3 linked regions of the Oryctolagus cuniculus genome follow. The protein of the gene in region 2 purifies or fractionates together with the protein of the main gene of each other region. This does not show direct contact. Links are inferred from orthologs where the notes say so. Each region holds a gene or a part of one and is shown on either strand. Other genes may lie near its edges.

What was found.
Region 1: the proteins of CPSF1 (region 2) and FIP1L1 fractionate together in Homo sapiens (co-fractionation; 8 studies listed by BioGRID and IntAct, with this or other methods). This does not show direct contact. The link is inferred for Oryctolagus cuniculus from reciprocal best matches to the Homo sapiens genes CPSF1 and FIP1L1.
Region 3: the proteins of CPSF1 (region 2) and SYMPK fractionate together in Homo sapiens (co-fractionation; 5 studies listed by BioGRID and IntAct, with this or other methods). This does not show direct contact. The link is inferred for Oryctolagus cuniculus from reciprocal best matches to the Homo sapiens genes CPSF1 and SYMPK.

What each region holds. Positions count from the first base shown.
Region 1 is NC_091439.1:110,490,899-110,494,539, reverse strand, and holds part of FIP1L1 (pre-mRNA 3'-end-processing factor FIP1), read left to right. Parts: intron 1-344; coding exon 345-475; intron 476-773; coding exon 774-842; intron 843-2,640; coding exon 2,641-2,736; intron 2,737-3,641.
Region 2 is NC_091437.1:168,121,209-168,124,849, forward strand, and holds part of CPSF1 (cleavage and polyadenylation specificity factor subunit 1), read right to left. Parts: intron 3,124-3,641; coding exon 2,982-3,123; intron 2,773-2,981; coding exon 2,594-2,772; intron 2,517-2,593; coding exon 2,380-2,516; intron 2,315-2,379; coding exon 2,140-2,314; intron 2,028-2,139; coding exon 1,818-2,027; intron 1,733-1,817; coding exon 1,643-1,732; intron 1,564-1,642; coding exon 1,420-1,563; intron 1,347-1,419; coding exon 1,194-1,346; intron 761-1,193; coding exon 644-760; intron 547-643; coding exon 456-546; intron 388-455; coding exon 303-387; intron 232-302; coding exon 90-231; intron 16-89; coding exon 1-15. UniProt on the Homo sapiens protein: Component of the cleavage and polyadenylation specificity factor (CPSF) complex that plays a key role in pre-mRNA 3'-end formation, recognizing the AAUAAA signal sequence and interacting with poly(A) polymerase and other factors to bring about cleavage and poly(A) addition.
Region 3 is NC_091449.1:11,171,180-11,175,421, reverse strand, and holds the start of SYMPK (symplekin), read right to left. Parts: upstream 2,830-4,242; 5' UTR 2,827-2,829; coding exon 2,609-2,826; intron 1-2,608. Other genes in the region: FOXA3 (hepatocyte nuclear factor 3-gamma), read left to right, coding at 3,651-3,719. UniProt on the Homo sapiens protein: Scaffold protein that functions as a component of a multimolecular complex involved in histone mRNA 3'-end processing. Specific component of the tight junction (TJ) plaque, but might not be an exclusively junctional component. May have a house-keeping rule.

The sequences.
Region 1 (3,641 bases), on a different chromosome or scaffold from region 2:
AAGCACTTGGGCCATGACCCATGGCTTTCCCAGCCCGTTAGCAGGGAGCTGAATCGAAAATGGAGCAGCCGGGACTCGAATCGGGGCCCGTATGGGATGCTGGCACTGCAGGCGGAGGCTTAACTTACTACACCACAGTGCTGGCCCCAGCACCATTTCTAAAGGAAATAATTCAGATTAAAATGTTTGTAGTATTTTGGTTTGTAGTGATAATTGAGAGCTGGTAAAAGTAGAAGGTGTAGATGCCAAGACTGGTAAAACTATATTTTTCTAGTTAACAGTTTTGAGGCTGTATAAGAATACAATTGATATATTTGTATACTTAAAGTGTGTTTCATCTTTAGGTGCTGATCTTTCTGATTATTTTAATTATGGATTTAATGAAGATACTTGGAAAGCTTACTGTGAAAAGCAAAAGAGGATACGAATGGGACTTGAAGTTATACCAGTTACCTCTACTACAAATAAGATTACGGTAATTAGTAAATATTCCAGAATACCCTTGCTTTTTCTACAGTCCCACTTGTGCTCCCCAGTTAAATCACTTTTTCCCTATAAAGGTGGTTAAATAATGCCATACGATAGTTTAAGAATTCCATTCTCTTTACCATGTTTGTTTTTCTTCCCTTCCTTCCCTTCCAGAGTTTTATATTAATGATTGTCTGATGTTTTTAGTTTCAAGTCACAGACCAGCCACAGCTAGTTTGTCTTTTTATGGCCTATCAATTAAAAATTATGTGGTATCTTAATGGGGAATATGTTATTTAACTTAGGCCGAAGACTGTACTATGGAAGTTACACCAGGTGCAGAGATCCAAGATGACAGATTCAATCTTTTTAAGGTGAATTTTAGTAAATTATCCTTGGTTGCTCTCATTTTTTGTTCTTGAGTCTGCTCCCATGCCACTACTCAAGGGACAGAATTAAAATTGAAATAGCTGCCTTTTTTCCAAACCTTCAGCTTCCTGGTGACTTACAAGTTTGCTGATTGTTGTTTTATCTCTTCTTTTGCAAGCATGTGAATTTATAGCCTGTTATACTAACATGCCAAGTAAAACTATTCTTTGCTTGTATGTTGTGATTTTTGAGACATAGTACATGTTTGTTTGTAGGATCTGAAAGTTCATGGCAACAGGTTAAGTTCTCATTGTAGATCACACTTTAATCTTTACCAGCAGAACTGGAGATTCTTTCTCCTGAGTGTTTATAAAATGGTGAGGCACGTGGTATGCAGTTATTATCTATATGATGCTGAGATCATTGGTGTGATGTCTCTTAGTTCCAGATATCTTCAAGAATTTTAGGAATTCTCTGAGACTCTAAACTCAACATTGGGATAAAGCCATTGATTGTTAAAATTAATATATAAAGGGTGTTGGTTGAAATTTGATACTACTGTTCGATTCCGTGGTAGCAACACAGGTAGACTTAGCCCAAACAATAATGTGATGTTTTCATACTTCTGTCTTGAAACTTTTTGTGTGCTCTTCATTCTTTACCTTGATACTGTCTTTGTGTATTGAATTGCACTGTGATGAAGATTGGGAGTGGCTTTCAGCTTGGATTCTGTACTCAGGAAACTTTTGTGGGCTGAGTATGGAACTGTGCCCCTTTTGGGATTGCAGCCCTGTCCACCAAAATACTGCCTTATGCATTGCATGTGCTATATCCGCAGATGTAGCCGCTCTGCTGGACACAGTTCTGTATAGTGAACTTAATTTTAATTAACATCACACTCTGGGTAAGTATTTGGTTCTTGTTCTGTTGAAAATATTTTGAAAATATGTGATGGTGTCTCCCCTGTTTTAAAAGGAGGTCAGGTTCTCTTTGCTGACTCTGGACTTAGGCAGTGACTAAATTGTTATCCTGGAACAGGTTGTGTGCAGTGGTGCATCAGAAGTGACAACTCCCTTTGCAGACTGCTGGCTTCTGAATACTTTGGTTTTTTGTTTGTTTTTCTGTTGACTTCTAGAAACAGAGTAGGACTAATCTCATCAAAGGTAGTCATTGCAGCTGTGTTTTTTATATGCATAATGTTTGTGGAAAAATTATTTTGAGGTTTATTTTGGTGATAGGACCAGAGGTCATTGACTTTTGCAGTCTGATTTATTGGCTTCTGAATGAGTAAGGACTTGGAACTTATGGGTAGAGTGTAATAGTTTTCTTGCCTTGATAATGTGCTTAGATACTAATAATGTCTGGATTTGGAACAGAGTGTGCATTTTAATGTCTGTGGCAGTCCTTTTACCTTTAGGTGGGTGTTGTGATCTGTAGGAAACAATAGCACTAGGACCATGATGAGAAAGTCCTTAATCTTAAACTGCCTGCAAACATTGGTGTGGACGGTGGGAAGCTGCTTTGAGGGTTGGCAAAAGCATGCACATCTGATTTTCAGAAGAGGAACTGGCAGAAGGTTAGACTAGAACGGGAGGGGGATAAGGAAAATCAGACCAGCTAGGGAGCTTGCTGTAGGCACTCTAGGAGTGGAACTCTTAAAGCTGAATGGGCACATGTTTGGATTTAAGAATCATAATTAAATTTTCATATATACAATAAAAATACTTCGTCTTCATCCTTAGTCAAGTGAGCGACAAGCCATCAGCCTCTTTTAGGTAACTTCTTTTGCTTTTCATTGTGTAGATTTTCCAACATAGTAACGAGTGGGGAAAGTGGTACAAACGAACCTCTAGGTGCTTATACAGCTTCAGTGAGGACCAGCATTCTGACATTCTTGAGGTACAGCCTTCTAAATACTTTAGTATGAGTAAGGTCTTTGTGTTAAAATAAAGGAAGTTGAAATGTAATAGGTATAAAGATAAGCCACTCAATTGGGTGCAGGTGAGTTGTGTAATTATAGAATTCAGAGTGGGGTGGAGAGATTGGGTAACATGTATGATAGGTATGCGTAAGAAGAAAACTGACCGCATCCTTTTCTTTAAAAAAAATTTAAGATTTATTAATTTATTTGGAAGAGTTACAGAGAGGGATAGAGAGAGAGAGAAATTTTCTGTCTCCTGGTTCTCTCATCAGTGGCCAGGCCTGAGCCAAGCTGAGGCTAGTCACCAGGAAGTTGATCCGGGTCTCCCACTTGGGTGCCAAGGGCCCAAACACTTGGGCTTTCCGCTGCTTTCCCTGGTCATTAGCAGGAAGCTGGATCTGAAGTGGAGCAGCTGGGACACGAATCAGCACCCATGTGAGATCCTGGCGTCTCAGACAGAGACTACCCACTGCACCGCAATGCTGGCCCCATCCACTCTTGTTCTTATTTATTTATTTATTTGACAGAGTTAGAGAGAGGCAGAGACAGAGAGAAAGGTCTTCCTTCTGTTGGTTCACCCCCAAAATGGCCACTACGGCTGGAGCTATGCCGATCGGAAGCCAGGAGCCAGGTGCTTCCTCCTGGTCGCCCACGTGGGTGCAGGAGCCCAAGCACCTGGGCCATCCTCCACTGCCCTCCCGGGCCACAGCAGAGAGCTAGCCTGGAAGAGGAGCAACCAGGACTAGAACCCGTATGGGATGCTGGCGCTGCAGGCGGAGGATTAACCAAGTGAGCCACAGCACTGGCCCCAAGATATATTTATTTATTTATTTGAAGAGCAAAGGTACAGAGAGAGGAAGGGAGAGGTAGAGAGCAAGCAGCA
Region 2 (3,641 bases):
ATCCATGATGAGGATCTGCAGGGCAGAGGAAGTGTGGGTGGCGCAGGGGCGGCCGGGCGCCGTGGTGAGCCCTGGACCCTGGGCCTTACCCGCCCGCGACACGTGACCTCCTCGCCCTGCATGAGGCAGGTCCCCGCGGCCACGTAGCCCTTGAGGCCCGACACGGTCTCCTCGCTGCGCAGCGACACTGTCTTCATGCAGGTCACGTGCTCCCACTCCTCCAGCTCGATCCTGGGGAGGGGGTGGTCAGGAGGCCAGGCCGCCCAGCCAGGCCCTCCCACCCCGCCCAGGCCCAGCCTCACCTGGCGTTGGGAATGGCCTCCCAGCTGACCGGGGAGATGAGCTGGATGGAGAAGGCCTCTTGCTGTGGGTGGACGTATCGGTCATCTGTGGGGACACGCTGAGGTCAGGGGTGGGGCTGTGCCCAGCACAGGGGTCCCCTGAGCAGGACCCACCTCTCTCGATGGTCTCAAACTCCTTCTCCTCGCCTGTCATGCGTGGGATGCGGGTACACGGGGTGTTGGTGCTGGTGGCCACAGCGTACACCTGGCAACCAGCGGGTGCCACAGGTCAGGAGGAAGGGGCGGGGCAGGGCACGCAGACTGCAGTTCCCTGGGGGAGAAGGGCGGGGCAGGGCACAGACCTTGGACTCCACGTGGTAGGCCACGTAGTGGGCTGTGCAGCGCAGTGGGATCTTCCTGACGGGCCAGGGGGCGTCGTAGGACAGGTAGGCAGGCAGGACGCTGATCCTCAGCTCTCCCTGGGGCGGGTGGGTGGAGGGGTCAGCCGAGCCTGGCCCTTGGCCCAGGAGACCTACAGGGTGCTGCACGCAGGCGGTGGCCTGGGCACCTCAGCTTCTGCTGAGTCTGCTGAGTCCACCCTCAGGGACTCCCCTACGGCTGGAGACAGGCCCTGCCGGGGGCAGCCACAGACTGGGCACGCCCAGGACTGCAGACCGTCCACTGCCCTGGGAAGCACTCACCTTGGTGGCCCCAGCTCGCGGAGGGTGCATGCCCCCGACACACAGCCCCGAGGAAGGGCTCCTCCGGCTAGGGCTGTTGGGCCCACGTCCTGCACCCCTCCCCACGTTAAGCTCCGGATACCACCCCTTGGGCCGCACCAACCTGCACAAGGTCACCCCTGGCCCCAGCACAGCTAAGGGTCCTCGTTCTGGGGGCCCAGGGCCACTCTACCTGTCTGTTGAAGTAGAGGAAGCCACGGGGGCAGTTGACATTGTGGAACGGGGCGAAGGAGTCGATGGGGCCATCAATGCCCATGGGGTGCAGCCGCAGGGCCCCCCGAGCCGTCACCAGCAGCCAGTGCGGGGAGGGGCCGCAGATGAACACCTGGAGGCAGGGGTGTGAGCATGCATGGAGGCCCCGCCCCGCCCCGCCCCGCCCCAGGAAGGCGCCAGCCTACCCCCGAGTAGCCATAGATGTCCTCAAAGTAGCGGAAGCGAGCCACGCGGCCGCGCGCCCCCGGCCCCTCCTCGCTGCTGCCGCCTTCCGCCTTCTTCTTGGACGGCTTCGGCTTCTTCTCCCGGAAATTGATGTTGTGGGGGACCTGGGGGCAGGCACTGTGAAGGCCCCGCTGGCCCCGCCCCCAGCCCCCAGCGCCCCCCAGGCTCTCCCACCCCTAGCACCTTCTTGAACCGGACTTTGAGGTTGCCCTGGCCAAGCTGTGAGTCGTGGGGGAAGGCCTCGTAGATGAGCAGCTCCTGGTCCACGTGCACCTGCAGGGAGGGGCTGTGCCGAGTGCTGTGCGTGTTGGGGGCGGGGCGGGGCGGCGCGGGGGGGGGGGGGGGGGCTCGCACTCACCAGCAGGTAGGGCCTGCTCTGGCGGCTCCCCAGGGCCACCAGCAGCACCTCCTTGACCAGGGGCAGCTCCCCTTGGCGCGTGGCCTCCTCCTTGCGGGCCTCAGGGCCTTGGGTGGTGGGCTGTCCAAAGGAGCTGTCCACCAGGACCCGCTGCCCCACAGGGAAGTTCTTCACCAGGAACACCAGCCGCCAGTCGGGGAGCTGGTAGATCTGAGGGAGCGAACAGCAGTGGTGGAGGCAGGAGGGGCGCCCTGCTGCGTGCTAGGAAGCACCCCTCCTCCGTGACCCCCCCCGCCCCACCCCGCGCTCGGGCCCCACCCACCTCCATGGTGCCGTTCTCCCGCACCAGCAGGCACCAGTGCGTGGGCTCGGCGCGGAAGGGTGCGGGGTCCCGGTCGGCGGGAGGCTGGCTACTCCTGCGGGCCTCCTCCTTGCTGGGGCTGAAGAGGGAGCCCGAGTCGCCGTACAGCATCTCCTCCTCGTCGTCCACTGTGGGGCTGGGGGCAGCAGGTGGTCACAGGCTGCCCGGGAACCCGACGCCCTGCCCCCAGCACCTGCTCACCTGGTCTCCGAGCCCAGGCCCTCGGCCTCCATGCTGCTCCGGCCGCCCAGCTCGTCGCGGGCCCCACCCAGGCGGCTCTCGGTGGTGAACATGCCACTGACGTCCCGGTACAGGCACAGCGCGATCACCTTGGACTGCTGCGGGGAGCAGGCGGGGCTCAGTCTCGGGCGGGGACACGGGTTGGGGGAGACGGCAGGGCGGGGTGGGGGCCTACATGGTGCAGCGGGGGCTTGTGCAGCGCCAGGCGGTGGTGGCGGCCCCCGTAGGAGTCGCTCTTGAGCAGGAACATGGTGACGTGGCCCTCGGCACTCATGATGACCACGTAGGGGTCGGCCACGGCACACTGCACGATGGGGGCGCCCAGGTCCACCGGGATGAAGTGCAGCTGGTTCACTGCGGGCACAGCGCAGCGGCCGGCTGTCAGCACACGCCCGCTCCGCGGGACCCAGCGACCCCTGGGCTGCCAGCTCAGGGCAGCGGGCCGGCTGTCAGCACACGCCCGCTCTGCGGGACCCAGCGACCCCCTGGGCTGCCAGCCAGGGCGGCAGGCACAGCTGTCAGCACACGCCCGCTCCGCGGGACCCAGCGGCCGCCCACCCCACCTCCTTCCAGCAGGCGGATGCCCAGCGGCGACACTTGGACTATGTAGCGGTTGTCCCCGATGTTTCCGGCAAACACCGTGGGGCCCTGTGTGGCAAAGCCGCTGGTGTCCAGCTCCATGATCTCCTGGCCCGTCTGCAGGATCTGGGGGCGACAGTGGGAGGTGAACCCTCCCCCCCCCCCCACACACAGGGGACCCTGCCCTCCGTGATCTCCTGGCCCGTCTGCAGGATCTGGGGGTGACAGTGGGAGGTGAACCCTCCCCCCCCCCACACACACACAGGGGACCCTGCCCTCCGTGATCTCCTGGCCTGTCTGCAGGATCTGGGGGTGACAGTGGGAGGTGAACCCCCCCCCCCACACACACACAGGGGACCCTGCCCTCCGTGATCTCCTGGCCCGTCTGCAGGATCTGGGGGTGACAATGGGAGGTGAACCCTCCCCCCCCCCACACACACACAGGGGACCCTGCCCTCCGTGATCTCCTGGCCCCTCTGCAGGATCTGGGGGTGACAGTGGGAGGTGAACCCTCCTCCCCCCCCACACACACACAGGGGACCCTGCCCTCCGTGATCTCCTGGCCCGTCTGCAGGATCTGGGGGTGACAGTGGGAGGTGAACCCTCCCCCCACACACACACACTCACAGGGGACCCTGCCCTCC
Region 3 (4,242 bases), on a different chromosome or scaffold from region 2:
CTCCTCATTTCCCGCAGGTCTTCCCTCGCACAGCTCTGAAGCCAGGCCTCCCTGATCGCCCAGGGCCAGCTCCCTCTCCCACCCTGTGTGGCTTTATCTTTCTCCGAGGCGTACTGATCGGTAAGCTCCATGAAGGCGGGGACTTCTCTCTGCCTTGACTTCCATACCCTCAGCAAAGAGAAGTGCTTGGCGCCCGGGGTGCTCAATACACTGCTGAAAGAGTCCACACTCCCGGCCAGGGCTCCCCACTGCCCGGCCTCAGGAGCCCTGCCCTTTGGCGCTACAATGCTTGGACAATTACAGGTGACACCTGCCCAGCACTTAGCATGTACAGAGGGCAATCCCGACATATGCACAAGCCCCATGACACCAGCTTTTTGAGTTAGATACTCAGGATTTTCTTTTTTTAATTTTAACTGATTTGTTATTTATTTGAAAGGCAGAGACACACAGAGACAGACTTCTGCATCCACTAGTTCACTTCCCAAATGCCTCCGACAGCCAGAGTCAAGCTGAAACCGGGCACCTGGGCCTCAGTTCTGGTCTCCCTCCCGAGTGGGTGACAGGGAAGGGAGCGCGTGAGCTACCATCAGCTGTCCCCCAGCGCGTGCCTTGGCAGTGCTGGCTTCAGCACTCAGATGGGATGTGGCATCCCACTGCTGTGCCAAACCCCTGCCCCAGCAACTGACTTTAGCCTCCGTGTGTGTGTACAGGTGAGGGCACTGAGGCCAGAGAGGGGAAGTCACGGCCCAAGGGCACACAGTGTGGCGGCGGACCCCACCGAGCACTGCGCGGATGAAAGCGTCCCTGTGCCCAGCCCAGGTTCGAGCGCACGCTGGCCCCCTCGTCAGAACCCGAGAACCTCCCCACTCTCCTCAGATGCTGATGCGCCAAGACCCAGTGAGAGGCGTCACGCGTCACCCCGACTCCTCCCTTGTCTGCTGTCTGGGCTGTGCCCTTGGCTGTCTGTCTTTTTTGTAAGCCCAAACATGTTCCCCTTCGGCTGCCGGTGGCCGATGTGTCCACCTCACAGAGGGTGCACCTCAGGCAGCAGCAGCCTGAACCGCTGGGTCAGCACCCTCTAGATGTTCGCCCAGAAATCGCCCAAGGTCGCGGTGCCCGCCGCGCGTCCCTGTGGCTGCGCAACCCCGGACCATGGCCCAGGAAGCCCGGGGATCGCACAACCCGGGGCCGTGGACCGGGAAGACTGCGGGATCACACAACCCGGGACCGTGGACCAGGAAGCCCGCGGGATGGCACAACCGGGGACCGTGGACCGGGAAGCCCGTGGGATGGCACAAGCCGGGGCCGTGGACCAGGAAGCCCGCGGGATGGCACAACCCGGGGCCGTGGGCCGGGAAGCCTGCGGGATCGCACAACCCGGGACCGTGGACCAGGAAGCCCGCGGGATGGCACAACCGGGGACCGTGGACCGGGAAGCCCGTGGGATGGCACAAGCCGGGGCCGTGGACCAGGAAGCCCGCGGGATGGCACAACCCGGGGCCGTGGGCCGGGAAGCCTGCGGGATCGCACAACCCGGGACCGTGGACCAGGAAGCCCGCGGGACGGCACAACCGGGGACCGCGGACCGGGAAGCCCGCGGGATGGCACCAGCCGGGGCTGTGGGTCGCGAAGCCCGCGGGATCGCACGACCCGGGACCGTGGACCGGGAAGCCCGTGGGATGGCACTAGCCGGGGCCGTGGACCAGGAAGCCCGCGGGACGGCACAACCGGGGACCGCGGACCGGGAAGCCCGCAGGATGGCACGACCCGGGGCCGTGGACTGGGAAGCCCGTGGGATGGCACGACCCGGGGCTGTGGACCAGGAAGCCCGCGGCATCGCACGACCCTGGGCCGTGGACCGGGCAGCCCGCGGGGACAGCGCGGCACGGGGCTTCAGTGCGCGGCCGCGTCCTCCCGTGGAGGCACGCTCGGAGGGCGGCCCACGACCGCCGCACCGCACAGAGCAGCTCCACGCGTGTTCTTCATTCATTCCACGAGCATCCACGGGCCGTCTCCGGCGTGACAGGTGGGAACCCAGACACACCTTGGCCCCCACCCTCACTCACAGTCAGGCGTCAATCAGCACACAGACAGAGCTCTCGCGACCACCGAGCGCACACGTGACGGGGAGGCGAGGGACGGGCACCCACGGGCGCACTTCACTGGCCGATTTCGGGGCGGAGGGCGGGAAAGGGCCTCGCAGAGGAAGTGACGCGGGCGGCGAGGCCGCAGGATGGGTGCGAGCCGGCCGGGCAGGTCGGGTGGAAGGGTGTCGCGGGCAGGGGCGCACAGCAGCCCGTGCAAAACCCCCAGAGCGCGGAGCTGCGTGGCGCCCAGGGGAGCCGCAGCGCCGCGGCGCCTGCGCGACGGGGGCACCGGGCACGCACGCAGGGCCCAGGCCGGCGAGGTCGGCGGGACTGACGCGCCCGGGGCCACGCTGCAACCTCGCCCCGGGGCCGAGCCGGGGAAGGGGCCGGAGCGGGAGCGTGGGGGCAGACAGGGGTCCCCAGGGCCGCCGCGCCCCTCTCCCCTCGGCGGCCCTCCCCGCCTCTCCCAGCCCCTCCGCCCCCCCACGCCAGGCCCCCCGACGCCGCCTCCCGCTCACCGCGGCTCGGGCCTCCGTCCCCCTCGCGCCCCCTCAGCAGCGCCTCTTCGCAGACGCCGCCGCCGCCATCTTCCGCTCGCCGCCGTAACACTGCGCACGCGCCGCACATGGAGGGCGGCCGGGAAATGGAGTCCAGACCACGGTCCGACTCCGCCTCTACCTCCTCCCGCGCGGGCCGCCCTTCGCCCTCCCCGGAGTGCGCCGGGGCCGCCCTCCATTTCCGGCCGTCGGCGCTAGGTCTTCTGGGAAATGGAGTGCCCTGGTGGAGGCGCCGGCGGAAGTGGGCAGAGGGGCTTCTGGGAAATGGAGTCCACGGCCGTTCTGAGTCCCTGGACGGCCGGCTGGCTGGTGGCAGTGCAGTCCGGGCGGCGAAGCTCCTGGCCCTCGGAGGTGGTGCGTTGTCCAACTGGGGTCTGAGCCGTCCCCGGCCCTTCTTATCTCTGGTCCTGAACGTGCACACGTCCTGAAGCATTTCCAGCCGTCGGAAGTCTCGGTCTTCCAGTTCGTCCAACGGGAATGTGGTGTCGAGGGGCTCCTCATAGTGACCCACCGGTGCCCTCAGGAGGCCCCTTCGTCCGCCGCGGCCACACCGGCCCCTGGCTTTTTGCCCTCTCAGGTCGAGAAGGCGAAACCCCCCGGGGTGGAAGGACCCCGGGCCTCCGCCGTGGGGGCCTTGAGGCCAGCGAGGATGGCCCTCCCACGGGCCTCCCCCTCACCCCGGGCGGCGTCCAGCAGCAGCGTCCAGGGGCTGCGGCGGCTCCCGACGCCCGAGGTCTGTGTCCTCGCAGTCCCGCAGGGGGCGCCCCAGCCCGAGCGCACCGCCCTCGGGGAGGCGGGAGGGGAGCCCGGGGCGGGCGAGGGCGGGGGGTGCCCCGGCTATAAAGCGTGGCCGCCTCCCGCGGCGCCCGGGACTGCGGGACCCCGGGCAGTCGGACCGGCGCGCGCGCGCGGGGCGAAGTCGGGCCGTGCCCGCCGAGACACCCGAAGCGCTCGGTTCCCCCGGGGGCCGGAGCGGGGGCAGGTGGGGGCGCAGGCCCGGGGGATGCTGGGCTCGGTGAAGATGGAGGCCCACGACCTGGCCGAGTGGAGCTACTATCCAGAGGCGGGCGAGGTGTGTCCTCGGGGCCGGCGGAGCGGGAACTGGGGGGCCGGCAGCGGGCTGCGGGCTCCCGCGGGGCTGGGGCGAGGTGTGCGCTCGCAAGGGGCCAGGGCGTCTAGGTAGGGAGCTGGGTGGCCGAGGGGCGCGGGGGCCAGGTGTGAGGGTCGGGACGCGGACGAGCCGCGGGAGTCGGGAACGTTTAGGCTAGGGTCAACGTGAGGGCTGCGTGTGGGGACCCCACCTCCCAGATCTGAGCGAATGAAACGCACAAAGCAAAGATAGGAACCGGAGCTCCACGGTAGGGGGCCAGAGCTAGGGACTTCCAAGAAAGCGGCGCTCAAAGTTAGGAGGGAAGGTAGGGACTCAGAAATGGAGACCATTTAGGGAAGTCGGCGGCGGGCGCTCAGGGCTAGGATGCGGGATCCTCGGAGAGGCAGAAATCAGGCTGCGGTGCGTGCACGGGGATCGGCTAGCGACCCGAGGGTCAGGAAGGGGGGGCTGGTGCTCAGGGGTCGGAGGGGGAGGTGCTTGGAGC